Linked DNA regions of Tamandua tetradactyla. The protein of the gene in region 1 interacts with the protein of each later gene in a pairwise test. Links are inferred from orthologs where the notes say so. Each region holds a gene or a part of one and is shown in the gene's direction. Other genes may lie near its edges. The genes, in order: REL, CGGBP1, GLYCTK and CINP.

Region 1 (7,214 bases):
GCTGAATCTCCTTGATCACTAAGCAGTCCTCCTTCACAAGCAGCTTTCACCTGGGAAAGGAGTACACCACACCTAACAGAAGAACTATATACTCTGCTCAAAAGAAAGGTCTCCGATCCAACTCCAGGGTTGTGCTTGTTCTCACCTAGTGGTGAAAAACAGATGCCATCTAGATAGGATGTTGGGTTTTCATTTTAATCACTAAATTGTGGCCCCCTGAGTCCTGATGTTCACCTGGCAGGGTGACATGCCATTTCCTTTCTGCCATTTCCTGTCCACCCTGCCATCTAATGTGGATTCCTTGGTAACCCATAATTAACCTGGGGCTTCCCCTGCCATCTCCAAGTATTTCCCTAATCTCACCTGACACTATCCATTGTTTCCTAGCCCTCTTCTATTACCTTGGTTCTTGAGTTTTTTGTTTTTAAACTTTTACTGTATAATATACCACATATACAGAGCAAAGAAAGAAAAAAGCAATAATCTTCAAAGCACTCTTCAACAAGTAGTTACAGAACAAAGTAGTTACAGTTATAACAAAGTTTCAGAATAAAATCAAACTTTCTGGTTTTCCATAGGCTCAAAGGAGTGAACCAAAGTATCAGGCACCAAAGGCTCACCAGAGTGGGCTATTCAATAAGCCAAGCAGGCCTGAGGAACAAAGGATAATTTATTCAACAGATATTTACTGAGTGGCTGCCACTGGGAATAAGTGAGTCCCTACTTTTGAGATTTTATAGTTTAGTGTGGGATCCAGGTACACAACTAAGTAACTGTAATTCAGTGTGGTAAACAAAATGATAAATATTTGCTGGTTGTTATTTTGCACAGAGAAGGGGCAGTCGATTTCTCAGGGGAATCTAGAAAGGCTTTCTATATGCCAAGTCTTGAAGGATGGGGAGGGATGGACTAAGTAAAAAGTGTGTGTTTTAGGAGGTGAAGAAGAGTGGGTGGTGAGCAGAGTCTTCAAGGTGAGGCTGTGCAGGGTGTATGGTCTTGATGGGGAAAGACATTCAAAAATCTCTTACAACTTTTTTTTAATTGCAGTATAAATACATAAGGGCACAAGTCCTAGCATGAGCTCAATGAATTTTTAAATATGTGTAACCCACCAAGCAGATCAAGATATAGAACATTCCCAGTAATACAGGTTTCCTCAGGTCCACTTCTAGTCAATATCCACCCCCACGGACCTATATTCTGACCTCTATCACCATAATTTCATTTCATCTGTTTTCAACTACAAATACATTGAACAGAACATACTGAATGAATTCATATAGATGTACTGTTTTATGTATGAATTGTCCATTTATTATGTATGGATTTTCCATTTCTTATGTTTGTGAGACTCATTCATTTTCTTGTGTAGCAATAGGATGTTCTTTTTTTATTATAGGGGAGAATTCCATGGCATGAATATAGGCAGCTTATCGATCCATTCTAATGCTGATGAATATTTGGGTTGCTTCCAATCTTTGGTTACTATGAATAAACATGCCTTAAAAATTATTGTTCATCTAATGGTAATGCACTTACTTCTGTTGGGAATATGCATTTTTTATGTACATTTCCTGGATGACAAATGATGCAGGCCATCTTTTATATGATTAGCCACTTGGCTATCTCACTTTGTAAAATGCCTCTCTTCATTATCTTCTCTGCTAAAACACTGGTCCACATACTTCACTTCTGACTTAAACTGTTGCAACAGCTTCCTAATTACTCTCCCTTTACTCTTGCCCCTATTTAATGTATCCTAACAGTTTAATACATCAGCAAAAATAAACAGCACAAAATGTCACTATAAATTAATGATGTGCTTAAAACTCTCCAGCAGCTTTTTGTGTGCAACTGGGATATAATGCAACCTCCTTATGATGGTCTACAAAGCGGTACATGATCTAGCCCTGCTTACCACTCCAACCTTTCATTTTGTTCATGTCCTATTGGCCCTTTTTTCAGTCCCTCAGATAAGCTCTTTCCTCTCTCAAGAACTTGACATTTGCTGTTCTTCTATCTGTAATGTTCTTTCCCTGAAACCTTTCTGTGGCTGCCTTTTATACCACTGAGGACTGAGCTCAAACATAACCTCCTCGGTGCATCCCTCTTACTGTCATCTTCTACCTCATTGCCCCACTTCCTTTATAACAATAAAGTAAAATATTTTAACAACAGTATTTGAAATGATCTTACATTCTTACATGCGTGTTGTCTTTTATGTAGGACATAAGCTACATGAAGCCAGAGATTTTACTTCACGTGTTTACTAGTGTACGTGCTACAACCGAGAAGTGCACCTGGCACAGAGCAGATATTTGTTGAACTGAATGAACAGTATCCAGAACTGTAAGCCCTCAAGCACACACACACACATATATATTCTCTACAATCCCCAACATCTAGCTGCCTATCAGCTTTAGAGTAATAAACTTTTAACTTTAATTAAATTTTCCTTTGGATAAAGAAAATTAGGAGGTCTGCAAGGATTGCTATCTGCCTGGCTCTACAAAAGGATGAATTCCTTCATTTTGCTTTTATAATCTCTTTAGATGTTTGTCTGTGATGTTGCCTGTGATGTGTATCACAGAATGAGTTAACGCCTATTCAATAAAATTGTTTCATTATTGTCTACATTTTGTGAAGATGGTATTTTTGGAATCGGCAGATTTTATTTTTAGTTCTGTCCCCAACAGGGTTCTCCAATTGAAGGCTCTTGTGTGGCAGGCTGATGTTCCCTATTCTCTCTCTATTCTTATTTGAGGAAGTAAAGGGTTGTGGAAAAAGTCTGGAGCTTTGGGTTTAAATTCTATTTTTCCTTTTAACAGCATTCTGACATTTGGGCAACTTCACGTATCTTCTCTGCATTCCGATGACCTCATATAAAAAATGAGGGTAATAAAATATTCACAGGTGAGGTAAGTAAAGCATCTGACACAAGTGAAGGAAACAAAATTATATTAGATAACAGTCTAAATGTTCTTCCATTCTCCCATTCCTCGTGGGTATCGGTGAAATCCCAGGATATTGTGACACTTCATTGCACTTACCTCACTGAACCTGAACACACTGCGTAACGATGAGGCAATTCATGTCACCCATGGCACGAATTCTCAGTGCGCATCTTTCGCGTTTAAAAAGTTTTAGTAGGTAAAATACGTAAAGTTAACAGAGCCCGCGCATTTTAAAGATAACGGGCAGAATCAGAAGGTGAGGGTCTCCGTATGCAAATACGTGAATTACAAATACTGCACACAGGCGACGGCCGCTTCCGCACTTGCGCTACTGCGCGCACCCGGACGCCCGCCGGCGCGGGGGCAGCGATTTGCATGTGCGAAATCGGGAAGAGGGGGAACCACCTATCAAAAACCCCGGACCGTCCTCCGCCCAGCTCAGGTGGGCCGGCCCCACTTCGCCGCCCGCCCCGCCCCGAAGGGCTCCCCGGCGGCCGGCCCTCTCGACGTCACCGCCTCGTCCCACCCGCTCCTGAACTTTAAACCAGGCAGAGGAGAACAATCTGGAGGAGGGGGATTTCTCCGGAGCCCGCGGCTTCCGCACGCTCGAGACCGTCACCTCCTGGCTCCCGTCGTTCCCTGCGCTCCCAAAGATTCTGCATTCCGGGATCCGGGGCTCCCGCGACGCAAGTCCCGAGCCCGCTGCAGAAGGAGGACGCACGCGCGGGGGCGGGGAGCGGGCGCGGGTGGCAGGGGCGGGGCGGAGCGCGCGCTCGCCGCGGGAACGCCCTGCCCCCGGCTCCCGGGGGAAGGCGGTGGCGAGGGGCCGACGTCAGCCGCGGGAAATCCCCCTCCCGCCCTGCTGTCCGCCTCCTCGGCCCGGCTGGTTCTCGGCTCTCATCGCGCTCCGCCCCCTGCCCCTGGCTCCCGCACCCAGGACCGGCGACGCTGGGTGACCCGGAGCGCGAGAATCAAGGGGGTGGGAAGGTGTGAGCCGCAAACTCAAGGGAGGGCGGGAAGAAGAGGAGGGTCCGGGGGTGGTCCGGCGAACTGGGGGTCCCGCCGGCAGAGGTTCCGCGGTCGCCTGACTGACTGACGGGCTGATTGGCTTCGGCGGCCTCCTGCCCGGACGCTTGGGGTTGCCTGCGGGTAGGCGCGGTGAGCGGAGCCATGGCTTCGGGTGAGTGTTTCAGGCAAGGGGGACCGAGGGCCGTGGCGCGAGGCCGGGCCGGGATGTCGGGGCAAGGGCTCAGGGGAAGGAGCTCGGCCGGGGGGTCTTCCTCCTCTGACGGTGGGGGCTTAATGAGGTGGAGGGTGCGGGAGCCTCTTGGTTTCCTGAGTTTGGGTTGTAGCTCATTCTGTCTTTAAAAAAAATCGCCTTACCTGGCAGATTGTCAAGCGTTTAAAAAAGTTTCCTGGTGCAGGGTTTGCGTGCAAAATCAAAGCCACGCTCTGTAATTTGATACTATTATAATAGCCGGAACCTTAGAAATTCCTAACGGCTTGATTTCAGAATTAGGGAAGGAAGACCCTAAATCAAGGAGGACGCGTCGTGCTGGCATTAAAAACTGATTTGTACTGAAATGGTAGTGTTAGATTTTAGAACAGGAATGAGGAACCTTCAGAGCCGGGAATAAATTTCAGATGTCGAGAGGTGAACCCAGTTGTGCTGACAGTTGTACAATATGCGGCGAGGCTTTAAAACTTGTCAGTGGTATTTGTCCTAAGTGGAGATGTTGCTTCAACAACGTGGGGATGATTTTTACTGTGAAATAAAGTAGGCTTTTAGTTTACCGAGTTGCCCCCCCCCCCGCCCTTTATTGAAAGTAAGGGGAAAAGAGGATTTTTATAGTACTTGTGCTTCCATGATATGGATAGGAGTAAAAACAACTTTATATCACTTATGTAAATGTTTATTTCCAGTTAGTAAATGTTTGAAACTCTTGTTTCGGAGGAAATGAGTTTAGTAGGAAACAGTTTACGGACAAGGAAGGGAGTCTCAAATCTACAAGTCTGCCGAATAATCTAGGGGATAGATTAAGTAGACCGCGTTAGAATTGGACCTTTGCCAAGATTTTGGTCCGGTGGATGGGGGCAGGGTCGCTTTCCAGGCCGAGGGAGCACCTGAGAAGACGCTGGGAAGCCTAAAACTACAGTTAATACTGTACTGGGAGGCTGGAGAGGAGGGGGCTTGTTTATGCTCGACACCCTCCCCCCCTCCGATTCTCCCAACTTTGTTTCAGTGACCCTCAGTAGAAGGCTGATGTCTCCTAGAGAAGAGGAAGTAGAAAGTATAAGGGACCTTGTAAAAGGGTTGAACTGAACAATGCTTAAATACTACGGTAGGCTGAAAAGGAAATAGGGGTGTTTCACATGACATTTGATTTCAATTTGTCTTTGTGGTTTTCATGTGAGAATACAAGTATAGTTTAAAATATTTCAACTTTCCCTTTACCCACTTCAGTGACCCCAACTTTCAGATATTCTTCTAAGTTCATAAATTCAAAGCACATTTAGACTGAAAGTACAAAGATAACTTTAAGTGTTTGGCTAATTTATTGGTTATCAAAAAAGAGATTTTGTATGAAAGTAGTAAAGAATGGTGATCGTTGCAAGTAAAGAATGTCAGGCGGCTGTCGTTTTAATCAAACTTTATTAATTTATTGCATGAATGTATTGTAATACTTCTAATTCTTTCAAAAGAGAAAAGAATTGGCCATTTTTATATAGAGTATTATAAGACCACATGATTTAAAAGTGTGCTTTTTAATGATACTATATCTTTTTAATGATACTATATCTGCTTTTATGAGGACTAAGAATTACCTAAATTGGAGGGGCAGGGAGGAATTTGAAAGTTGAAGGGTGATTTTCTTCTTTTTTTTGCTTTTTTTCAAGAGTTGCATTAAAATGGGATTATTTAAAATTTTGCAAGTTGTTTAAAAATGTAATCCAGTGTTTTGAAAACTGCTAGGCCTTACCGGATGTCATATGTAAACAAATTTTTGTAATTGAAATATATGCTCTGTATAATGTAAAAGTACCATAGATCATAATCTCATAAGCAAAATTAGTTGAGTGTCATGAGGAAGATAGAGTAACTGGGACTTTGGTAGTGTATGTGATTCTGAATTTTGTTCAGATCAGTCATCAGGTTAATTATTCAGGGTTTCAGCTCTGTCTCTAGTAACTGTTTTTCAATGCTTTGAAAAAAAGCAAAACAGCCACAAAGCCTTGATTCCAGTCTGTGGACACAATTAGAATAGCATTGTGAAGAAAAATGTTCCTAAAACTGTCTAAGATATGTATATTAGACAATTATTACTTTTTTTGTATTTATCATTCTTTTTCTATTGAATACAAGTAAAATTAGCTATTTTATGTGTGAATTCAAAACTTTTCATTGTTCCAGTAAAAGAAGCAAATTGTCTTTGTGTGGCTTGTGGCTCTGTTTACTAATAACTAGCACCATCTTTAATAAAACATGTTTTAAAATTTAGATAATTTTTTTATTAAAAAATTTCCTTAGTAAAGTTTTGCTATGTCACATAATGAAAGAACTACACAAAGAAATTGTTTCTGTAAACTGTACTACTTTACCAACTCTTTGATTATAGTATGAATTTCAAGGCAACTTTTTTTTCCTCTTGGGTTGTAGATATGATTCAACTTATTTTTAATGCTAGAGCTGGAAGTTAAGAATGGATAGCTAAAGCAAATTATTGTTTTTTTAAGTAAAAAACTGTCTATGTAAACATAAATATTGTTTCAGAAATGCAACATGTGGAAGGGTAGAGATAAATGATATAAAAGAATTAAGGTGATATATGATAGACAGAGTGGAGGGAAAGAGTGAATGAAATAACTGGGGAGGAATAAGATGAATCATAATTAGGAACATCTAGGGTGGTGTCTTTCTCTAATAGAACTTAAAGGACTCAGATTTTCCTTTTGTTCTAACTTTCATCTGTGTTCTCTGCAAATGGTTATGTTTGTAGACACGTGACTTTTATCATATCTTCCTACTTTCTTGAGTTCTCATCTAAGCCGTGTCTGAATTTTACATTTATGTAAGAAATCAAGCTATTAGGGATCAGGAATAGGGTTGTCAGATAAAATACAGATAAAGTTAAATTTCAGATAAACAGCAAATAATTTCTTAGTATAACTATGTCCCAAATATTTTATGAGACATACTTATACTAAATATTTATCTGTTATCTATCTGAAATACATATTTAACTGAGTACTCTGAATTTA
Region 2 (7,640 bases), on another chromosome or scaffold:
TTTATAAAACATATTGCTGTTTATTGCTTCTTAGGCACCTATTATAGTGTTTAGTATGCAATAATTGTTTTAAAATTATTTCAGGATTATTAAATAATTTTTTGCCATTTTTAAGAGCATAGTAGGATCTCTCAACTTTGGCACTACTGATTTTGGACCATGACAATTTGTTGTGGGTGATGTCCTATGGATTATAACATGCTCTGTAGCATCCCTGGCCTTTACCAATTAGGTATCAGCATTGAAAATGCCTCCAGATATTGCCAAGTGTCCCCTACAGTGAAAAAATCTCCTCCAGTTGAGAACTCCTGGCACAGAGATAACGTAGTTGTTTTCCAAATCATTTAGTGCTTCACCAGGAACATGAGGCTTTTCTAGCAAATTAACAGAAATTTAGAATTGTTGAACATTCTAAATTTTCTCTAAAGTTAGGATACAAACTCTAAGCAATTTATAGATTAAATTATCTCTAATTTTCCTCTTAAACCCTGAGAATATTTCTCATAGTAGAAACAGAAATAACTTCTACTATTTATGCCCCTTTCTATGTGCTAAGTACAGTACTAGTACTTTATATTCATTCTCTAATTTTATACTCATAATATCCTCTTGGAATGGTAATTTAACCCACTGCAATAAGAAATAATTTAAAGTTCTATTTCAATTAAGATATCAAGTGTTTCCACAAATACTTATTTATCACTCACTAAATTCCTTCTCGTGCTAAACTAAGAAGAAACTCACCAAGATTGCAATCAATTTATTATATAAAAAAATTAAATATATTTAGTGGTAAAATAAGTTGAATTATTCCAGCTTTCAGGAACTGCAGAAACGTTCACTAACAGGTCGAAAAGACAATAATATTTTTTTTCTGAGGCATAATGAAAGAGTACTTTTTAAACTTTTTCATCCATGATTCCTTGACAATTTCCAGCAACTTTGTTTCCCATTCACCAGCTTCTCCTAATTTTCCCCATAATTAGGCCAAAGAAAAATCTGATTTATGTTTGAGGATTTATTGTAATTTTAGTATGCCTTTCAGTAGAAACTGAAAGCCAGGTTCAAACTTAATCATCCACCTACCAGAAATTAGCTGGATTACTTTTCAACTTCAACTATTTAATATGCATAATAAAATATACCTCAAGGTTTTGCTTCATGGATTAAATGACCCTAAGAGTTGGTAGGCCTTCAATAAAAGTTATTTCCCCGTTCCTTTCCTCCTGGAAGCAAAATTAAATATCAATTAAGGGCCAATTCTACTAAGGATGGTTGAGACTGCTAATAAAAGTCAAGGAAGAATGTGTTAGGGACAACTAGCCCAACATTATTGACACTATGTAACTTTTGGACAGCAGCACTTCAATGTTCCAAATCCATCTTTCAAAAACCAGCTGAAATCTTATTCTGTTAGCCTGAAATTTTATAATTACTGGTAATATTTCTCAAATAGAAAAGTATATCATCAAACACATGCACACTATATCACTTATTTATTGTCTTCTGTTTTACTTTTCTTTGTGGTAAAAGACATTAGAAGCTCTCTTGAAAAGATGTGCTTCTTCCTCTTTCCCTTCACCTACCTACCTAACTGCCAAGAAATTTTGATTCATATTTCCCTCACAAAAGGAGGAAAATAAATTTGAGCCATTCATCTCAACTCCACAAGACTGTGCGTATAATTCATACATTTAGTTAACAGTCACCTACCCAAGTGCATATTATGTACTTTATGGATTACTCACAATTAAAGTCATTTTTACTAATGAATGCAAGTTACTTCATATTACCTTCAGTAAATATTAGGAAAACAAATCTTAAAATTAAACTCTTTGACTGGAAATTATATTATATAATCCACTGCTCCCCTTATTGGCAAATAACACTGAGAATCACTGTAATAGAATTTTGATAATCAGTGAGTAAAACTCCACTTAATGCAAGTGATTTTTTATTCCAACTAAAAGCTTTAAGACAAAAAAGGAGTTCACAAAATCTGCTTGCAAGGTGGTACCAGGACAGGAACCTAAGAATAAATGTATTGGTAAACTAGAATATTATAAAATTTGTAATGAGGTTTCAGGTAAAAATTGGTAGCATGAAAGTATGTTAATACAACACCCATAATTAGGTGACATAAAATAGAAGTTTTTAAAGTGCTTCTTGCTTTCATATCCTTGTATATTAGGAGTATGGAAATGTATACATTATCAGTTTCATTTGCTCTTAAAAACTGATTTTAAGAAACAATAAGAATAGTTAAAAGTTCTGCAAAATTTTCTAGTCCTCAAATAAAATCTCAAATTCTACCTCAATTAAGTACTATCTGATCAATAAATGAACAAGGCTAGATGCAACCAAAAACAATTTGGTCATTAACGATATATAAATCAAAATAAAGAAAAAAGAAAAAATACTTTCTATCAATCAATATATTAAAAAGATCAATTGTAACCCAATCCTCAGTTTAAATTTCCTGTAGATACTGAGCCTACCGATAGTATAGTTTTTAGAAATGAAACATATAGTTAGCAAACAAGTGTTCTAAAGACACTGAACCTCTATATCTAGCAAATGCCATATACCAAAAATAAATATATTTTCAAGAAAGTCACTAAATACATGGCAATGCCAATGAAAACTGGCACTCCTTCCAGATCAAAACAATTTCCACCTTCAAACCAACTTTTCTTTGACACTGGAAAAAAAATTAAATCGAGACAAATTAAAGCATTAAAAACTTACCTGAAACTGGCAACTCCATGCTTTTTCTTTCAATGCTTGGAAGGGCATAAAATCAAATGCCAGTAAAATGTTCACTTCTTATTAACTTTAATTCCTACTTATTACCAGAATGAAATGAACAGCCAACTGATGCAAACCCTATGCATATTCACTCATTTAACTATTATCCCTATTTGACAGAGAAGAAACTCAGTCACAGCAAGGTTAATTAAAATGATCGAGATCACACAGTTAGGAAGTGGTGGAACCAGGATTTTGACCACGGTGCATCCAAGATAATAAATATAAAAAGCAGAGGTGGAAGGGATGAGAGGATGAAAAGCCGTGTTTAAAAATTTTTCCCACATGTTTGCAAAAGAGGGTTGTGTATGAAAACAAAACATTTAAACTATAAATGTAAATAGATATGTATGCAGTTTACACAAATTTTGCCTCCAGACAAGCACTCTGGTACAGCTATAATGCATTATTCAAACACTTTAAACCATAACAAATCGTAGAGGCAGTCGACTAAGTAAAGGAAATAATTTGCTGACAGTGTTTGGACATTATATTTCACAAGCTACATGAAATACACTGTAATTTAAAGGATAAAGGGAGGTGGAATTGTGTTCCGAGCAGCAACTTAAGAAAAACGACTTTCCTCTAAGAACAGTTAATTAAAAGAGAAAGTGTGTGTGTGTTGGGGAAATGGGTAAGAAAATAAAAGATGGCAATTACACTGCCTCAACACTTTCCTCCACCCCCAAAAAAGTAACTAAACTACTGTGGGTCAGCGCTAAAGCCAACTGGAGTCAAAGTGGCCCAGCGGGAAATTGAGACAGAATGACAGGAGACCCTAATAGAGGGGGAGGGGAGGCGATGACAGGAGAGGGGGCGGTAGAGCGATGGCATGCCTCCCATTCCCGAAAAAGAGAATGGGGGGCAAGGGGCGGAGAAGGGGAGACAGGAAATTTTACTAGGATTCAAAAGAAGGTGAGACAAACAGGGTAAGAAACACAAGAAAGGCGGGACCCTCGGGCAGGAAAGGTCTGTTCGGTGGTAAGGAAGGCTTGTCAGTACGGACCTTTCCTGCCAGCTGACCCTCCCACCCGTCCCTAACCTCCGACAAACCCTCACTTTCTCAGCAACTCTAAACCTGCGGGTCACCCCCACCCCCCACTCCAAGCCCGCTAGGTGGAGGGTGAGCTTCACCCTCACCCTCATGTTGGGGTGGAAAAGCAAGCACCCGACACGGCCCACCCTGGGGACACGAAGTCCCGAAGACGCAAGGAGGCCCAGAACTGGGGGTGACCAGACAGGGCGGCTGGAGGACGCCTCACCTGACAGAAGCGTCGGCAGTAATCCCGACTGCTGATCCCGCCGCCGCAGCCGCCGTCACCGCCGCCGCCAGCGCCGCCTCCGCCGTCGCCCGCAGCTTTAAGCCCCACAGGGCTAGGCGGAGACTCCACAATGGCCACGAGCTCCTCTCCGAGGCGTTCGGCCTCTTGGTCGCTCTCTTCCTCCGCCATGAGGCTCTCGCTGCCCAGCGCGTACCAACCCCTGCGCCGCCGCCGCCGCCGCCGCCGCCGCCGCCGTAGCTGCCTTGACTAACCTCCTCCTCCTCCTCCTCCTCCTCCTCCTCCTCTCCCTCCTCCCCCTCCTCCTCTTCTAGTTCCTCCCCCTTCTCTCCGCCTCAGCCGGACAGGGGCCTCTCGGCTGGGCTCTACTTCCGGCTCCGCCCACCCACGCCCCCAGTTGTCATTGGGCTATTTTAGCCGCCAGTCATGTTTATGCCCGCCCTCCTATGGCCATTGGTCAAACCAGCCGTCTGTTTGATAGGTTCACTGTCCGTTGGTCAATACTGCTCGGCGGTTGCTGGGGACCGCCTACTCGGCTCTGCCATAGGCGGTGCAGGAGGACGGGGCGCGGTAGGGGATACGGCGGCCGCCGCGGGGCTGGACCGAGGAACGGCGACGACGGCGGCGACGGCGACTGGATTTCTTCCTCCTTCACGCTCTTGTCCTTTTCTTCCTCCTTTCTTTTTCGGCTTGGTCTCGTCCACTTCCCCTAGCGGCGACCCAGATCCTACGGTACCGAGGAGGTGGGGGAGATTGAGGGTGGGCCCGGCCGTTGGTGCAGGCTGTGGGCCAGGGGCCTTCCGTCCTGAAACGGGAGTCGGGGGCGGGGCCGTGGCGCGGTTGTCGGCGGGAGGAAGAGGGAGGAGACGGAAGCCTGTCAGCGGCCGCCTCCGCCCGGAGCCTGCAACCTCCTCCCTTGAGAGCCGCCAACTCCGCTGCCGACTTCGCGGGCCCAGGGACCCGGCCCTGCCCAGCTAGCGGAGCCTGGGCAATGTAGGGCTCGCGTGCTGGGCTCGGCGCGGAAAGAGGGAGTTCAGACGCCCGGGAACGTGCCGCGCCTCGCCTTTCGCTCCCCGCCCCCCGAACCTTGGGCCCTGGGAAGCGCGAGGAGGTGCAGAAGGGGACAGACAACTGAGAAAGGGACAGGAGGAGATGGGGTGGGGATAGTGAGTTAAGCTTTGAGATATGGGTTTGTGATATGGAGTTACCTTAAGAGAGCGATTTTTGAGACACCTGCCGGGTGGCTGTTGTTGACATACTTGTTCATCTTTTCTTTCTCATCCTACCCCCATTTTTTTTCTTTCCATTTGATTTTCCTGTTTTACAGTAAAGGCATGACTTTCCGGCATCGCAGGGAAAATAGGGTGCAAGCCCAGAAACTATTTCCCCACCACCACTTGTTGAAAAACTGATTTGGAGGCATCTCCGAGTTTGAACAATCAGAAAGTGCCAGGATTTCAGGCGACTCTGGTTTTGCGCTGGAGATCCTTCACTACTAAGTGTCAATACGAAAAAACTGGAAACTAATCCGGTAAAACGTTTAAACTTGGAAACGTGAAATGAGTGTTTTATTTCTTTTTTTCTTTCTTTTTATTTAATCCAGTAAATGATTTCTCCTTCTCTTTTGCTATATAAATCCTGCTCTCAACTTTTTAACTTCGTTTGTTTTTTAAAAAATCTTTATTGAAAATATTTTTGTTCTTTGGAGCTGTAAACCTCAGCGTCTGTTGGGTCGGTTTATTGTCTCTGCAGTGGTACAGACCTTTTGAAAGTTACAAGACATTAGAGCATAGGTCTTTCACCTTAGTACAAGTGATTGAGCATTTTACGCTTCAGAGAATTATGTACTTGTTTATTGTTTTAAAGTTTGAAATTCAAATATTTAAAGACAGAAGAACTTTCAGATAGAAAGGAAGGTTTAGGTATTACTAGACAAATATTTAATGTTTTTCATAACTAGTTTAGAATCATTAATTATTCATTATTGGGACTTAATGCCATAGGAGTATAAAACACATACCTTTAAAGTACAAACATGTAATGATAGTTGATAATTCACTTAATTCTGGGCAAGAGTAATAGATGTCTTACTACCATTGTAAACCCTTGGCCTAACACAGGATTGGCACGTGAGAATGACATAAAATTTTTTTTAATGAAAGAAAGAAGTATGATTAAATCTGAGGTATCTGTGTGAATATTCAACTTTCATGTTATCCAGCTATTAATTTTCTAATATGGGTTTATGGAATACTCTGTTGTTTCTGATTAAACTTACAAAGCGTAGTTCTTTGAGCACACTTTAGAAGTTTTCTCTAACATATTTATACAGAATAGAATTTATCTTGAATTCCTTCAAATTAATTTTCATTTCTTAAATATAGTTTATCTTAAATGTTTATCACTTAGCCTAAAAGCATGGCGCCAGAGAAAACAAAGACTTACCAATACTGATTTGACCATTTGTCATTAACTGACATGTATTTATTATCTCAAGTTTTCAGTGCCCTAACAATATTATTTTGGCACTTAGTCCAGTTATAAAAGTTTGTTGTTAGGACAAATTGAGAAATTTATCAAGATGCTACTGAGTTAGATATTCGGACAAATTTGAAGATGTTCATATACTTATATGAGCAAGTTTTGATTGAGCATTTTCATATGCTGGGCACTATGTTGAGTTCTCAATTTTGTACTTACTGGTTAGTAAGTGAAATAAATGTTAACAAGTGTAATTATTAGTCTTTAATGAAAGAAAGAAGTAAAAAAGTGTTAGAGGAAAAGCACTTCGTATATCTTAAATATCACCTTTTGGAAAAGTTAGGAAAGTATACATGCCTTAAAAAATAACTTACTTTGACTCTATTTGTTGACTTGAAAATTTAATGCCGCTGTTGCTGCTGTTAATTGTATTTGCTCTTTGTTCTTTCTTAGTTTTTTTGTTGTTGTTGTTCTCAGAACAATTTAGAAATTCTCTTCATTTTCATAGAGAATTATACCAGTTTAGTGGCCCACCTGTTTGAATGTACTTTGTACACAATTCCCTACAATTTTGTTCTTAACCTCATTTGTCCCAGAATTGTGAAGGGACAGAAACTCTTTCAAACTTGAATGCATATCAAATTGGATAAGATTAACATAATTAATACCCCAAATGTTGGCTTTTGATTAGGTTTTCCCAAAAGATAGCAATATCTGGGATAATTTGAGTTCTTGTTTCATTGTTCTAATTTACTTGAATTACATGAAAATTAAGGAATGGACCTAGTTGTTATTTTAGTAACTTGTTCTGGTTTTGCCTTCCCTTAAATTTTCCAGTTAATTTATGACTTAATGGACACACATTCTGCTGATTTAATTTGTTTGAAGTCTTTAATCTTAGCTTTTTATACCTGCCTCACATTGTTAATTACTTCTGGAATTAACTGTCATAGTAATACTTGTCTTTGTTTCTTTTGTCTTCAAAGAGCCTTATTCAAAGTCAGAATGGAACGATTTGTAGTAACAGCACCACCTGCTCGAAACCGTTCTAAGACTGCTTTGTATGTGACT
Region 3 (7,505 bases), on another chromosome or scaffold:
GGCATTAATCAGTGCACCGGACTCTCCTTGGTTTTGTAAAAAGTAAAAAAAAAAAAAAAAAAAAAAAAAATAGAGTTATTATGGCTAAGAGATTTAAAATGGAGTTAGACATCCAGGAGTGGAGGTCTCCCTGACAATGTGGGACGTGACTCCCAGGGATGAGCCTGGCCCTGGTACCATGGGATTGACAATGCCTTCCTGACCCAAAGGAGGAAAAGAAATGTAACACAATAAGTATCAATAGCTAAGAGAGTTCAAATAGAGTCCAGAGGCTATTCTGGAGGCTACTCTTACTCAACCTTCACCTAGATACTGCTAATTACCACAGTTTGCTAAACCCCAACCAACATCATTCCTGTTAACCCTAAAGAACACTTAGGGCTCTATCTGAGAGTTTACAAATGTTTCACATACTAAGTTGACTTTCCAGAAACCTACAACCTCCAGATGGGTTCCTAGGCCAGATAAGTCCTGAAACCCAGAGGGGCCAGCCTCTCCAAGAACATCAACTAATTCTATCCCCCATCCCATATTATCTACACCCCTTTTCAACATGAAAAAGTTAGAATGGGCAGAGCCCAAATACCCCTAAAGATTGGGAGAAGGATCAAAGGAGAAGGAGGAGTTATAAAAGAGAAGATAGTATTTAACCAGTGAGTATGACTGCTGAATCATATTGATATTTCTTTTAGTCTCTAGTGTCTGGGAGCAGCTAGAAGGAAAAACCTAAAACTATGGAACCATAACCCATACCAAACTCTGAAATCTGTTCTATAACTACTTGTTACAATGTACTTTGAAATTTATTGCTTTTTTGTATATATGTTGTATTTCACAATAAAGAATGTTTAAAAAGAAAATGGAGTCAGAGTTCATTCTGGAGATTACTCTAAGGCAAATACCAACCAAATAACATACACTGCCAAAGTATTCAAAGCCTCAAGCAACAACGTTCCTCAAGCCCCAAAGAGGTCCATCTATAAAACAAACCACAAAATAAGTAACTCAGTTAACTATCGAACCTGATGGATTACTGGAATACCCCCAAATAGCCACCAACCACAAACAATTTAAACTTTTTCTTTAAACACCCTTGCCTGGAAATTCCAAGAGGGACAGGATCCTGGTTGCTACCTAAATCTGTGCTCCCCCAAATTGCTATTCTAAAATTCCCAAATAAATGCCTTTGTTGCCTTGCAGCTTAGTTTGTTATTTCTCAGTTGACAGTTTGTAGATAAAGAGCAAAGTGTTCTTTATCTCTGCCACGTTGTTCTGTACTTCATTAAACAGTATGCTGGGATCAATGCTGTGTGTATTCCAAGACCTGTTGATACGTCTGGAAAGATGAATGCCGATGAGAACAAATACTTCATGGATGACCTCATAGCAACAAAAGTAGATCAAGCTTCTAAGCTATAGAAGGAATTTTTGAAACTATGTGTCAAGAGGATAAAGTGAGTTTATCAACCGGGATAGGCCAGGTTATGGTGCAATAACACAAACTCGCATATTTTAGGGACTTAAAACATCAAAGGCTTATTTCCCACTTTTGCTATATTCACATAATAGGTTGGAAGGGTGGGTGTTATCATCACGTCACTCAGGGTCTCAGGTTGAGGGAGATGCCACCAACTTGAATGTTGATAATTGCCAGGTTCAAGGGGAAAAATGCTCAGGATGGTCTCAAATGGGCAATTAAATACCCAGAAATGACTCACACCACTTCCACTCACAACTCATTGGTCAGGACTAGTCACATCATCCCCCTCAACCACAAGAGGGTCAAGAAGTACAATCCTGCTGTTACCAGAGCACACGGTAGATTCTTGCCTGTGCGCTCAAATGACCAGTTCCAGAGACACCAGGGTTTCAAAGAGTGAAAAAGTTTATTGCTAGGCACGTAGCAGGAAATCAGATGGCCCGTCAGCCCAAAAATCTGTCTCTCCCAACTGCAGTAATCCTGATAGTTCTATAGTATTAAAAGATTGACAGGTTTTAGGATAATGAGCTTGATGGCCCCAGATGATTTAACTAGAGGTGATCTGATTATTGAGCATGTGCAGATTGATTACATGCTTATTCACAAGACATATGTGAGAAAATGGCAGTCAATATGACGGATGTGATTTTTAGTATTATAATGAGGTATAGGTGACTTGTAGGTTAAAGTCTAACTGCTACACACGTCAGGTAGGCCCATTTTGGTTAGATCTAGTTTTGGTTATCAAGATAATTTTGGACTTGGGATGGGTTAGTTCTGGGCTGACCCAGGACCCTTCATAAACATTAGGGGCTGTCTTTAGTGATCACACACTCCAAAGTCGAAAAACTGGATAAATGGGTACAAGTGAAGGTTAGTCACAAGGTTTTTACAATCACAAGGGCACAAGATAAAGGCTTTACAATCATTATTAAAGGTCAAGGCAGCTGGATTACAATTCAAAGATTTCAGGTATTTCCCTCTTTCTACTCTAATATACTGGAAAGTAAAAGAAGCATCTATACAATAATTCAGTAATCAAAAGCATCCCTCAAATCCCAATTTCTCGGTTACCCTACTACACGCCTGGAAAGGGGGTGAACTGAACTTACTTGATGAACAGCACTGTTGATCACCACACTGAATGAAATTCCCTGGTTTGGTGTTCAAGGACATCAGGATGGATATAACTATGTCAGCTCTGCTATGGTGATGAAGCGAACTAACACCTTGTACCTCTCCAGGCACCTAAAACCTCAAATGGCTATCACCCGCAATCTGCTTCCGTAATAAGCAGTATTTGTTTACAGGGAAGTTCCAGGCTGGGAAGTCCAAAATTAAGTACTATTCTCCCAAATTTGCATTCATCACTACTTCTGATGTCCACCCCTTGAGCTTGGACAGGGCAGATTTGAGAGTTTCAGAGGCCAAGTATTTGACCCATGGTGAGTTTCAGAGATTCAGCATTGTTAGTTGAGTTGGGTACCACTATTCCCACCTTCCCCAGGTCACTGACTGCTCAGCATCATCCAAGAACAACCTCTCCCTATGCTTTAAAATGGACCATTTAAATGAAAACATAATCTAAACAGACACATTCAGTAACCCTCCTTTGTAGGCTATATGAATAGCATACCCCACCTCCATTGCCTTCTTTCCATCTGCTTGCTTTTATAATGGGGAAAGCTTATATTCTACATAAACTTTGAGTCATAAAATAGCATCTCAAAAACTAAAATAATTTATATGCAGTCTTAATATATTAGGGATGACATTATTTTAATATGTTTAGAAGTACTATAATTTATTTGTATAAATTATCTTATCAATGGATATTTAGATTGTTTTATAGTCGTCAAATTTCTGGGCTGAATATTAGCTCTTCATTTCTATCTTTGTGTACGTGCCTTATTATTTCTTTGGAGTGAAATTGCCTGATATTGACACTTACTGCTAAATTACACTTTTTATAAAAGACTGTAGACTATTCATATCCACTATCAAGATATGTGTAAGCATTCTGATAAGTCTAATAGTTTTCTCAGACCTAAATTCCACTCCTTCATGAAGCTTTCTGATTCTACCCAGCACCATTTCTCTTCATTTTGTAGAATTGTTCCTACCCAGGGTCTGCAGCACTTTGCAGCCAAGCACTTCACTATTCCCCTATTCATTCATTTAAAAAAAAAAAAAGCCAACTTCTATTTGTGCCTGGTCCTATGCAGACGAACAGAAATGTAAATACAAATTAAACCATGTCACCACTTTCCAGGAGCTCACAAGTCTAGCGGGTATCTTAACCCTTGCTGTTGTTAAAGCCATCTTGTGAGTAGCTGCAGGGGTAGGGGCTTTAAAAAAATAGGTACAATTAGTTTCCTACTTACACTTTGATGGAATAGCACTGGCAAAGTAAATGGTGTTTGTTTTATGAGTGCTTCTGGCACTAAATGAAAGAGGTGTTCAAATTTACACTCCCAATGGGGGAAAGTAATCACAAAAGCAGAGTGAATTTCCCAAGTAATAATATCCCAGTATTTGGCATTTAACCTACACAGAGGCACTCAGGAAATGTCTGTTGAATGATGGGAGGAATGAATAAATGGATGAAGACAGCTTACTATAAGTAAGAAAAAGCTATGAATTTTTAAGTATTTATAATCTCCCCCATTTCTAAAGAGACCAGGTCCTTCTGAAGGCACCTTGTTCTGCTGATGGGTGGGCAAGCAATGAGGAGAGACTGGTAGAAAATAAAATATCCTTTATTATAAAGGCAAAGAAAAACGCAACTGGGAGAGCTGGGAAGGGCAGGAGGCTGGGTGAGGGGGGAGAGTAGTTCATGACAAGACATGGTCTGGAGAACAACGGAAAAATGCTGCAGCTGCCAGATGGAGCAGGGTGGAGAGAAACATTTCAATAAGAGTTTCAGAAATCTGCAGTATCATGTGTGACGTAACCCCAAATTCCATCTTCCCGATAACACGTCAGTTAAATAGAGACAGTACTCTTCTGTGCCTTGGAGTCTGGTCGGGACTTGCCTTTTGAATATGGGAAGACATCAAGCCCGGCTCAGTGCGTAGACTGAGAGCACAGATGGCGAGACCAGGGACATTCGCAGTCACGAAACATGTAGTAATTTGAGGATCACGGAACAGAACTCTTGTTGAGCCAGAACTGTATTTGGTGGCACTTTAGGGGGAACCAGCGAGTTGTGGGATTGTCACGGTGAGGAAGGGCCAATAGGGGTAGGGCCACGACTTAATCCAGCCCCGGAAGGGGTTGGTTCCAGAGAGGGAGTGATCGTCAACCCGCTTGCTCAGCCCAGTGCCTTGCATCTAACAGGGCTCGGCATGTCTTTACCTTCTGATTGGATCCTATAGGATAAAGGACGGACGGACCACACCAATCCGGTCAGGCGGGGATTGTTAGTCCCATTGTAGAGATGAAGAAAGTGAGGCTTCTAGGCCTCTAGGCAGCACCCCACGTAGTCACGACTACCCTGACCGAGACCCAAGAGTTCCAACAGCTTCCCGAGCACAGCCTAGCTGGCACCCGGCACCTCCCCCTCACTTCCGGATTCCGCTACCCGCAAGTACTTCCGGCCTCCAGCGCGGGAAGCTGCTGGGCTGTGAGTCTGCGCAGTGAGGGTTCTCGTGGTCCCCGGAAGTGAGTCCTGGGGTTGGGTGACGGGGCTCTGAATGGCAGAGGTCTCTTACCTCCTGTCACCACCCGACGTCCCGCGGGAGCCATTTTCTTGGCAGGCCAGAAGCCCGAGCTGGAGGGTGACGTCACCTCTGGGGCCCGAGACAGGCAGGTGAAAGCCGGAAATGGCTCCATCCTACTTGGTGGCGAAGTCGAGGCTTTCTTATGATTTCCGGCCCTCGCACTGTATGGGCCCGAAGTTTAAGGACGTCTTGTAGGGTTCTTAAATTTAGCAAATATAAATACACGATGTCCAGTTAAATTTGAATTTAAAAAAATCGAGGAATTTTTCAGTATAAGTATATCTCATACCTATCCTACAACGATTCGTTGTTCATTTGAAATTCAAATTTAACTGGACGTCCTGTATTCTGTCTGGCAACTCTAGCCTTGAATGCCTCCCTGCTCTAGGCTCTGGCATCCAGTAGCAAGGCTGGGGTCCTCTAGATCTTTGGGAACAAATTACAGAATTTGCCTACATGCTCAAAACCAAGTATTGCTAGATGCTAAGATGCTTTAGCCCCTTTCCAATTGGGTGAGGCTAGGTGTTCCTCTAGCAAAAGCTGGACACCATTTTAAGAGTCCCCCGTGCCAGGACTCTCTGTATTCCCTTTTGGAATAGAAATCCAGTAGGGCTGGTCTTCTTTTGCTGATGGGAAAGCTAAGAACTATGCAGGCTAAATTGCACAGGGCTAGAAGTTGCCAGGCTATTTGTGTGTGAGGTAAACTGGCCTTTGGGGTCCAGGTTTCCAGTGTTACAGTGAACACTGTTAGAAGCTCTAGGGTGTCAGGGGAAGAGCATTAGTTTTAGTTTCAACCTAACTTATTTTGCAGATAAGACCTAATAAGAGATATGGAGCTTTCCTAGCCATTCAGAAAACCTATAGTAAAGCTAGAACCCCAATTCCCAGCTTCCTTCCCCTGCTCAATCCATGCTTGCTGATAAAATTAGCTTGCAGCATTTACCATAGGCTTTTACTAAAGTATATGCCTTTGGGGCTTTGTTGTCTGGAAACCCCTCACCATCTCCTGACTGTCACCCCAGGGCATTTCTAGCTTTTGTGTTGTCTAATGGGGAAGATGACTGTTTGGGCCCAGCTGTGAAATCCTGGCTTGCCTGCTCCAGCTGCTGGACTCTCATCACTATGGAAGATGTGACCCAGGACTTGTTTTATAATCTTGCAGCCAACGCGGGGGTTCTTGGCAGAAGTGGGTCTGGCTAGTTATGTGGGTGGAAGAGCATCCTTTCCTGTCTTAGCTCCCCAATACATGGCTTCATGTCGTGCCTGGGAACTTCCATAAGGTTCCACCCTGAACCAGATTTGGCTGCCATTTATGGTTTGAACCTGAATTCTAGCTAGACTGGCCAGAGCTTTGGGATTTTTAAGGCTGCATGTCCTGAGGATTTGCTCTGGGCCTGTTCTGGTAGTACCCTGGTGAGCCTGAAGCCTCTCCACACAGACACAGCTTTCCCAGGCTCTCCATCCCATTTCTTGAGGTAATGAAATAGAGAAGGCTGGAAGTCACTGGACTCAGGGTTAGTCGGTGGGACAACCAACAATCTCCTGGCGGAAGAGGTGGTAAAGAGGCAAGGAAGGAGTGCCAGGAAGAGGCGTTGCCTCTGGGTGAGGGCTCAGAAGTGCAGGAGGTGGAAAAGGGGTAGGGAGGAGCCTACTGATAGGGATTGCTCCCTCTGTGGATTATTAACTCCCAGCCAGAGGGGGTGACGTAGGAGAGGGCTCAGCTAACAGAAACTTTGGACTCAGTGCAAAGTGTCCAGAGGCCTGGCATGTGGTCTGCAGAAGAGGAAGACAAGGTTGGGTGGCAGGGCTGGGCTCTGACTGGAGTAAGACCAGGCAGCTGCTGGCCTTAGGAAGTCTCCTTGGGCTAGCGAATGGCCCATGCCTTCAACAGCAGCTGTGGGGTCTCCCAGCCCTGAAACTTCAGACGGGTAATTGTAAGGTAGGGGTGGGGGTTTCCTGTTTTTGGCCTTGCAGTGGCCCTTACTGGTGCTTTCTTCTCCCTAGGCAGCCATGGGTGCCAGGCAGTGCTGAGAACAGCAAGGCATGGCGGCAGCCCTACAGGTTGTGTCCCGCCTGGCCAGACCCCCCTTGTGCCCGCTACCCTGGGGAGGCTCTGTGGTCCGGCTGGCCAGTCGCATGGCCCTGGCAGAGCATGCACGGAAACTGTTTGAGAGTGCTGTGAGTGCTGTGCTGCCGGGCCCCATGCTGCATCGGGTCCTTGCCTTGGACCCTAGCAGCGGACATCTGAAGGTGCGGGACCGGAGCTTCCAACTGCGACAAAACCTCTACCTGGTTGGCTTTGG
Region 4 (6,834 bases), on another chromosome or scaffold:
TTCTTATATTGAAAGTGAACAAGACTGAGAGGGGTTGCAAAGACCTATGTGTTTCACTTATTAATACTACAAATATTTATAAATAAATAAGTTCTTGCATAAACTACTTCAAAGGTATGATTCTTGTACAAACAGTATTCAAGTTCAGGGCACAGGGGGAAAAGTGCTATTACATGCTATGGGTTATGTTTAAAAGGAAAACATCAGCAGTACCACAGCAATACCAGGGGTAAATAATGGGGGGAGGGACAAGAATTAAGGGGAGGTTTAGATTTCCTATTTGGTGAGGGTGTGTTTATTTGGTATCTTTCTCTTGAGAATAATGAAATTATCTAAAATTGAAAGTGTTGATGGACTGTGGACTTTGGGCATTATACGTGATGCCTAATGAATGTAGTGGCTGAAGGATGCACTGAGAAGTATGATGGTGTATACATATGAATGAATATTGTGCTGCCACAAAAAAGAGTGAAGTTTTGAGGCGGGCAACATTGTGAATGAACCTGTGCGACACTAGGCGAGGCAAAATAAAGCAGAAGCAAAAGAGCAATTATTGTATGGTATCCTTTAGAAAATGCTTATAAAAAAAATAGAGGACTAGATTGTAAGCTCTTATAGCAGTCACATTTAGTCCAAAGTGGTAATTATTATTTCCGGATTTTGAGAAGCTGTTTTACATATGTATAACCTGGTATTTAGAGATAAGAACAAAGCCAATCAGGTTGGGATTAAGGTGATTCAGAACACAGGGGTAAGGAAGACACTGATTCTATTTTAGAACCTCACCTACTCTTTGGGACCAAAGGAAGAAAGATTTATTTTGTCCAGAATCTAAATTTTTCTGTGTCACATAATCCAACTCAACCTATGTGGACAGCTCATTTAAACTACTGAAATACAGGAAGCCCAGAAAAAGAATGAAGGGGGCGGGCCGCGGTGGCTCAGCGGGCAAGAGTGCTTGCCTGCCATGCCGGAGGACCCCGGTTCGATTCCCGGCCCCAGCCCATGTAAAAAACAAACAAACAAACAAAATATAATAAAACAAGAAAATGTTTAAAGATGTTTCCCTTTCTTCCTCCCTTCCTTCCTTCCATCCTTCCTTCCTTCTCTGTCTTTAAAAAAAAAAAAAAAAAAAAAAAAAAAGAATGAAGGGCTTTAATCCTGTATATCTTAATATCATGCCTGGATATATCCTAGAATATATCAAACAGATAATCAAAAAGTATTAGTAAAGTCTCTTGAGGGATAAGAGAAAAAATATGGAACAATTACACTTTACCACTGGGGAATCCCTGATACTGTGTCAAATATTAGGGACACCCAAATCAATAGGCCAAGACCTTGATCTTGAGGCTTACTCTTGTAAAGCTTATGTAGGTAGCAGAGAAGCTTAGCCTACCTATAGGTATGCCTAAGAAGACCTCTTTTGTTGCTCAGATGTGGCCTCACTCTAAGCCCAACTCTGCAAGTGAAATCATTGCCTTCCCCACTACGTGGGACATGACTTCCAGGGGTGAATGCCTCCCTGGAGGCGTGAGAAAGATTCCTAAGTATGAGCCTGGCCCTGGCACCATGGTATCAACAATGCCAGCCTAACGAAAAGGGGGAAAAGAAGTGTAACAAATAAGGTTTCAGTGGCTAAGAGACCTCAAATAAAGTCAAGAGGTTACTCTGGAGGTCACTATTATGCAAACTTCAGTGAGACATTGCTACCTATCATAACTTGCCAAACCCCAATCAAAACCATTCCTGCCAATCCTAAAGAACACCTAGGGTATTATATAAGATTCTACAAAGGTTCTATGCGCTAGGGTAACTTTCCAGAAACCTACAACCTCCAATGGGTCCCTGGACCAGATAAGTGCTGAAACCTAGAGGGGTCAGCCCCTCCAGAACATCAGCTTATTCCATCTCCCTACCCCATATTACTGACAGCCTCTTTCAACATGAAAAAGTTAGAACGGCCATAGCCCAAATACCCCTAAACAGTGGGACAGAAAGATCAAAGGAGATGGTGGATTATCCAGAGAAGGTATGGTTTAACCAATGAGTTTGACTGCTGAATCATTAAACTGGTATTTCTTTTAGTCTCCAGTACCTCAGAGCAGTTGGAAGTAAAAATCTAAAATTGTGGAACTGAAACCCATCCCAAACTCTGAAATTTGTTGTACAACTAATTGTTGCACTGTGCTTTGAAATTTATTGTTTTTGTACATATGCCTTTTTGACACACACACACATGCAAGTTGATTGTGATGATAAAAAAAATATTTATTCCTTCTAGCCTCCAATGTTCTGGAGTAGCTAGAAGGAAAAATCTGAGATGATGGAATAGTAGCCCATGACAACCTCTGGGATCTGTTCTGTAACTACTTGCTGAAGAGTGCTTTGAAAACTATTGCTTTTTCTTTCTTTGCTTTGTATATATGTTATATTATACAATTTAAAAAGTTAAAAAAAAATCAATTCTTACTTTAAATAGCTCAATTCACAAAATCGATTAATTACTCCCTCTTGAATTCAAGTTTCCTGTGCATCACTCTGACTAGAAATCCTTCCTTGCTTGACACAAAAGCTTATTTTCATTCATCATCAGTTTCCTGATCCGGTTCTTACTTTTCCAAGTTCAGTTAACTGCTCTGCCCGATATGTTTCCTTCCTTCTTTTCCACTAAGTTCCAGTAGACATTCTGTAGAAACTATATACAGAGTAGAGGCTAATATGAAATCAGACCCTCCTCAAACTTGAAGTATAACTTCAGGAAACCAAATCTAGTAGGAGCCAGTTTCTATTAAAAGATAATGTGGCTACAAAATAACTTAAACCTAACAAAAGCTATTTATCTGTCATACCTTCAGAAGCAGCTACTTTTTAGGCCATCTTCCCCACCTCTCTGCCCAGCCATTTTTGAGAACTCAGGTAGCACATGCCCTAGACTTGGACCTGCTAGTACTCTGGTTTGAAAGCTCAGAGGTTATACTGCTCCCAGAGGGCAGGTCTCTGTTTGGTTCACAACAGCATCTCTTGAGACTGGCCCCAGGGCCTGTCACACAATGGATCCCAAACAACTAATTTCTGAATTAATGCTCAGAAGGGGATGTAAGTTGGTTACCAAAAGAAGCAAGGTGGGAGGCTCAGCAAGGTGCACCATAGCTGGGTACCAGAAAGCACAAAAAGCCTTGCATAAGTGGGCAAGTGACACTCCCTCCCTAAGCTTCAGTTTCATCATCAGTAAAATGGAGATGACAGTCCTTTCTATCTCTAGTCACAAGGGACGACAGTGGCTTTATTCGATTCTGCCAATGCCTGGGATTTGGGCTTGAGGACTTCCCATAACTGGCTGCAAGAAAGCAGTCAACCCCATGTGCAACTGACCACTCAGTAGATGAGGCAAGGGTGCACCGGGTAGGTACCCCACATTCTGCTAAGAAATGGGACAGAACAGCAATACAAAATAAAATTTCGGACTCTTGCTGAGAAAGAGAGGAAGGACAAAGGCCAGGGAAAAGAAGTGCAAGTGGAGAAGGAGAAACTAATGAGTAGTCAGAAAATACATTAAAAAAAAAAAAAGTAGGGAGGCAAGCGAAGGAGGACAGGAGAGCCCAGATGTGGGTTCCAACATGGGGCTGGCTATCATTTATTGAAAAGCAGCGCCTGCCAGGTCCCCTGCCTAGCATTTTACAGTTAAACATTCATTTAATCTCCCACCAGCCCAGAGGTAGAAACTATTCTCCCCGTTCTAGTGACGACGAACCTAAAGCTCAGTGTGTTGATGCCGCGTGCCCGCAGAACACAGAAGCAGAGCTCCGCCCTGAGCCACGGTATGACTCCGGGGTACCCCATTCTATAACCCTCGCTACCTAGTTCAACTCTCAGGACAAAATGCCGAGTGAGAGAGGCGGGAGTTATCCTCGGAACGAGCACCTACTGGGTACATGTCAAGGCCTAATGCCAGGCGCGGGTGGGCAGAGGTAGGCAGGCGGCAGCGAGGGTCCGGAGGACAGAAGTACCGTCACCCACAAGCCACAGGCGCCCGGCGCCCCGAGCCTGCCGCGCAGAAGGGGCGCGAGGGTGGGGCAGAGAGGGGCGGAAATGGGCTGAGCACCGGCAGACGCGGCGAACGAGGCGGGGGCCTGAGGACCAGCTTGGGACCCGCGGGCTTGGCGCCAGGCAGCTAGCGCCGCACTCGGGTGCTATAGCCTCTGGTCCTCCGTCTGCGCGTGCGGGTGAGACTGGTAACGGAGACCCCGGGGGGCTAGGCGAGGGAAGGGTGGCCCGGGAAGGCGTAAGCGGCAGCACCTGGAGGCGAGGAAAGAGCGCGCGGCCAGGCGTTGGGGCCGCCAGCGGCGTCGCCAGACTCACCTCCCACAGTAGCCCCTCGGTACTCGTCGGCCCGGCCTAGCCGGAGGAGGCGGGGACAGATCCGGGCCGCGGGGGCTGCCGGGAGCCCGTTCCCAGGGCAACACAGCCCGCACAGCCCCGCGGCAGCTGGCTGGCTAGAAAGGCAGAGCCACCAGCAGAGGCGGGTTGGGAAGAGCGGAAGTGACGTTGCGGATTTCTGGGGACCAGCTTTCGGTCTTCTCGGGATGTCCGCGGGAATGGAAGGTAAGTGAGACGCGCGTGTTTCCCGCGGCGGGGAGGCTCCGGGTGTTAGGGCCGGGGCCGGGGGCTAGAACCGAGGCTGGGAAGCTCCCTTCGGGTTAAAAGGGGCTCGTGCTCAGTCTGCGAGGACTCAGTTTTTTTGTATAGTGACAGTCAAACGCGATGTATACGAAGGGCGAGCATGGTTCTTAATACTTAAATCGTTATTATCCTCGTTATGATTTAGTGTCGGCAAAGCACATTGGGTGCTGAGCCTTCCCTGCCTAGCTCCTCCTGAAATCCCCGAACTCCCCTCAGAATTCCTGCCACAGATTTTTCTGCTAGTAATGAAGACTGGCACCCAGCGAGTGTTCTAAGGGCGTAAATCCGCTCTCTTGAGCCTCACTTAAGCCCCTGAACTACAGGTGGGACGGGCTGTTAACCATTATGCTGTGCCTCACTCCGCTCGTTACTATGACTGATTACTTGTCTCCGTTTCCTTACTAGCCCATAAGTGTCTTAAATTCAAGAACCATGCTTTGTTTTCAACTCCTGAATATGTGCTGGGTTTGAGCAGACAGAGGATGAATAAGATGAGCACCCCCACGTATGACACCAGAAGGAAAGATAGAGGATAAAGACTGAGTCAGTATAACCTAGCGATGCCTAGACTGGACAGTGATGGTGATTAAATGTACAAATATAAAAACGCTTTTACATGAGAGGGAACAAATGGATGTCAACATTGCAAGGTGTTGAAATTGGGATGTATACAGGAAAAAAATATTGTCAATGCAAATTAGGGTCTATATTTAACAGTAACATTGTAATATGCTTTCATGGAATGTAATTGCCCAAACTAGATGTCAGTAAGTGGGGGGGGGGGGGGGCATGGGGAGGGGTATGGGGTTTTCTGTGTAAGAAAAGGAAATGTCCGGATTGTCATGGCAAAGGCATATTTACTTAGGTTGTATTGTATGATGTGCGACTAAAACTGTTTAAAATGAACAGAGATAGAAGTGCTGGAGAAAATGTGGAGAGCATGAGGTACCTAGTCCCTGTTGGTAGGGAAGCCGAGGGGCTGGACAGTGTAGTGACTCCACAGGAGGCTAAGGGAGGGGTTGCCGTATGATCCTACAACCCGTTACTAGGTCTGTACTTGGAGGTACTGAGAGTTGGGGCAGAAATGGACAGTTGCCTACTGGTGTTTATGGCAGCAGTGTTCTCAATTTACAATGGATGGAGGTGGCCTAAGGGTACGTCTACTGGAATGGAAGGGGAACTGTGGTGTATACACACAAGGGACTATTGAGCCGATGCAAGAAGTAATGAAGTTCTGAGGCATACAACTAGGATCTTGAGGACATATACTGAACGAAATGTCAGAAACAAAACGACAAATATTATCACGCCTCACTCATATGGACTAACTAGAATATACAGACTTTGAGAATAGAAGACGAGAGTATGAGTTGTCAGGTTGGGGCCTGTTTTAAAGGTTCCTAGATTGTAAGCTCTTATAGCAGTCACATCTATTCCAGAGTAATAACTGTTATTACTAAATTCTAAGATTCTGAACTATCTGTGTATAACCTGGTCATTCCCTAGAACTTCAGGTATTTGTGTAGCAACTGAGACTCAGAGCCCTGAAACTATGAAAGTTAGCATTCCTCCATACAGCAATTTTTTAAAAAGTTAAAAATGTGAAGAGACTTCAACTAGAGATATAAATGAAGCTGATCTGGATAGGACTAAGGTAAACCAGAAGACAGGGTAAAGAATGATATGGTCTGTATTTTAAAACCTCAAAGCGTGTGTGAGACCAAAGGAAGAGATGTTTGTTTTGTGCAAAATTTATATTTTTGGTAGCCCACTATCTAGTTTAACTTGTGTGGTCAGTTAATTTGAGCACCATAATTATACAGAATCTTAAATAGGGAGTGAGATCTTGTTGGTTGGTACAGGTCAGTGTGATGCTCCAATACATCCCAGAGTAATTTGGGAAAGCAATAAAAAAGTATTTGCTCAGTCCCCTGGAAGGGGAGAAAAGTAGAAATGTTAAACTTCCCCACCTCGGGCAGACAATAGAAAAGTATTTACTAAGCCCCCTTGGGAAGAAAGGTAGAAAGGTTAAACTTCCCCACCTAGGGAATTCCTGATATTCTTGCAAGTAGTGGGGACAACCTGTTTAATAGGCCAAGCCCTTGATCTTGGGGCTTGCCCCTTTGTAACTTATTCCTGCAAAGGAGAAGC

The links.
Region 2: the proteins of REL (region 1) and CGGBP1 interact in binary tests that used the Homo sapiens proteins (3 or more experiments, as listed by UniProt). The link is inferred for Tamandua tetradactyla from reciprocal best matches to the Homo sapiens genes REL and CGGBP1.
Region 3: the proteins of REL (region 1) and GLYCTK interact in binary tests that used the Homo sapiens proteins (3 or more experiments, as listed by UniProt). The two-hybrid records come from large-scale screens. The link is inferred for Tamandua tetradactyla from reciprocal best matches to the Homo sapiens genes REL and GLYCTK.
Region 4: the proteins of REL (region 1) and CINP interact in binary tests that used the Homo sapiens proteins (3 or more experiments, as listed by UniProt). The two-hybrid records come from large-scale screens. The link is inferred for Tamandua tetradactyla from reciprocal best matches to the Homo sapiens genes REL and CINP.

Annotation. Positions count from the first base shown.
Region 1 is NC_135343.1:33,243,995-33,251,208, forward strand, and holds the start of REL (proto-oncogene c-Rel), read left to right. Parts: upstream 1-4,205; 5' UTR 4,206-7,214. UniProt on the Homo sapiens protein: Proto-oncogene that may play a role in differentiation and lymphopoiesis.
Region 2 is NC_135336.1:58,633,240-58,640,879, forward strand, and holds the start of CGGBP1 (CGG triplet repeat-binding protein 1), read left to right. Parts: upstream 1-4,625; 5' UTR 4,626-4,831; intron 4,832-4,944; exon of another isoform or gene 4,945-5,081; intron 5,082-5,087; exon of another isoform or gene 5,088-5,199; intron 5,200-5,415; 5' UTR 5,416-5,619; intron 5,620-7,555; 5' UTR 7,556-7,574; coding exon 7,575-7,640. Other genes in the region: ZNF654 (zinc finger protein 654), read right to left, coding at 4,071-4,259. UniProt on the Homo sapiens protein: Binds to nonmethylated 5'-d(CGG)(n)-3' trinucleotide repeats in the FMR1 promoter. May play a role in regulating FMR1 promoter.
Region 3 is NC_135341.1:33,580,757-33,588,261, reverse strand, and holds the start of GLYCTK (glycerate kinase), read left to right. Parts: upstream 1-4,482; 5' UTR 4,483-4,702; intron 4,703-4,741; exon of another isoform or gene 4,742-5,143; intron 5,144-5,149; exon of another isoform or gene 5,150-5,175; coding exon of another isoform or gene 5,176-5,291; intron 5,292-5,297; exon of another isoform or gene 5,298-6,677; intron 6,678-6,688; exon of another isoform or gene 6,689-7,130; intron 7,131-7,206; 5' UTR 7,207-7,245; coding exon 7,246-7,505.
Region 4 is NC_135338.1:63,945,599-63,952,432, reverse strand, and holds the start of CINP (cyclin-dependent kinase 2-interacting protein), read left to right. Parts: upstream 1-3,820; 5' UTR 3,821-3,882; coding exon 3,883-3,931; intron 3,932-4,299; exon of another isoform or gene 4,300-4,488; intron 4,489-4,500; exon of another isoform or gene 4,501-4,586; coding exon of another isoform or gene 4,587-4,605; intron 4,606-5,247; exon of another isoform or gene 5,248-5,299; coding exon of another isoform or gene 5,300-5,333; intron 5,334-6,834. UniProt on the Homo sapiens protein: Component of the DNA replication complex, which interacts with two kinases, CDK2 and CDC7, thereby providing a functional and physical link between CDK2 and CDC7 during firing of the origins of replication.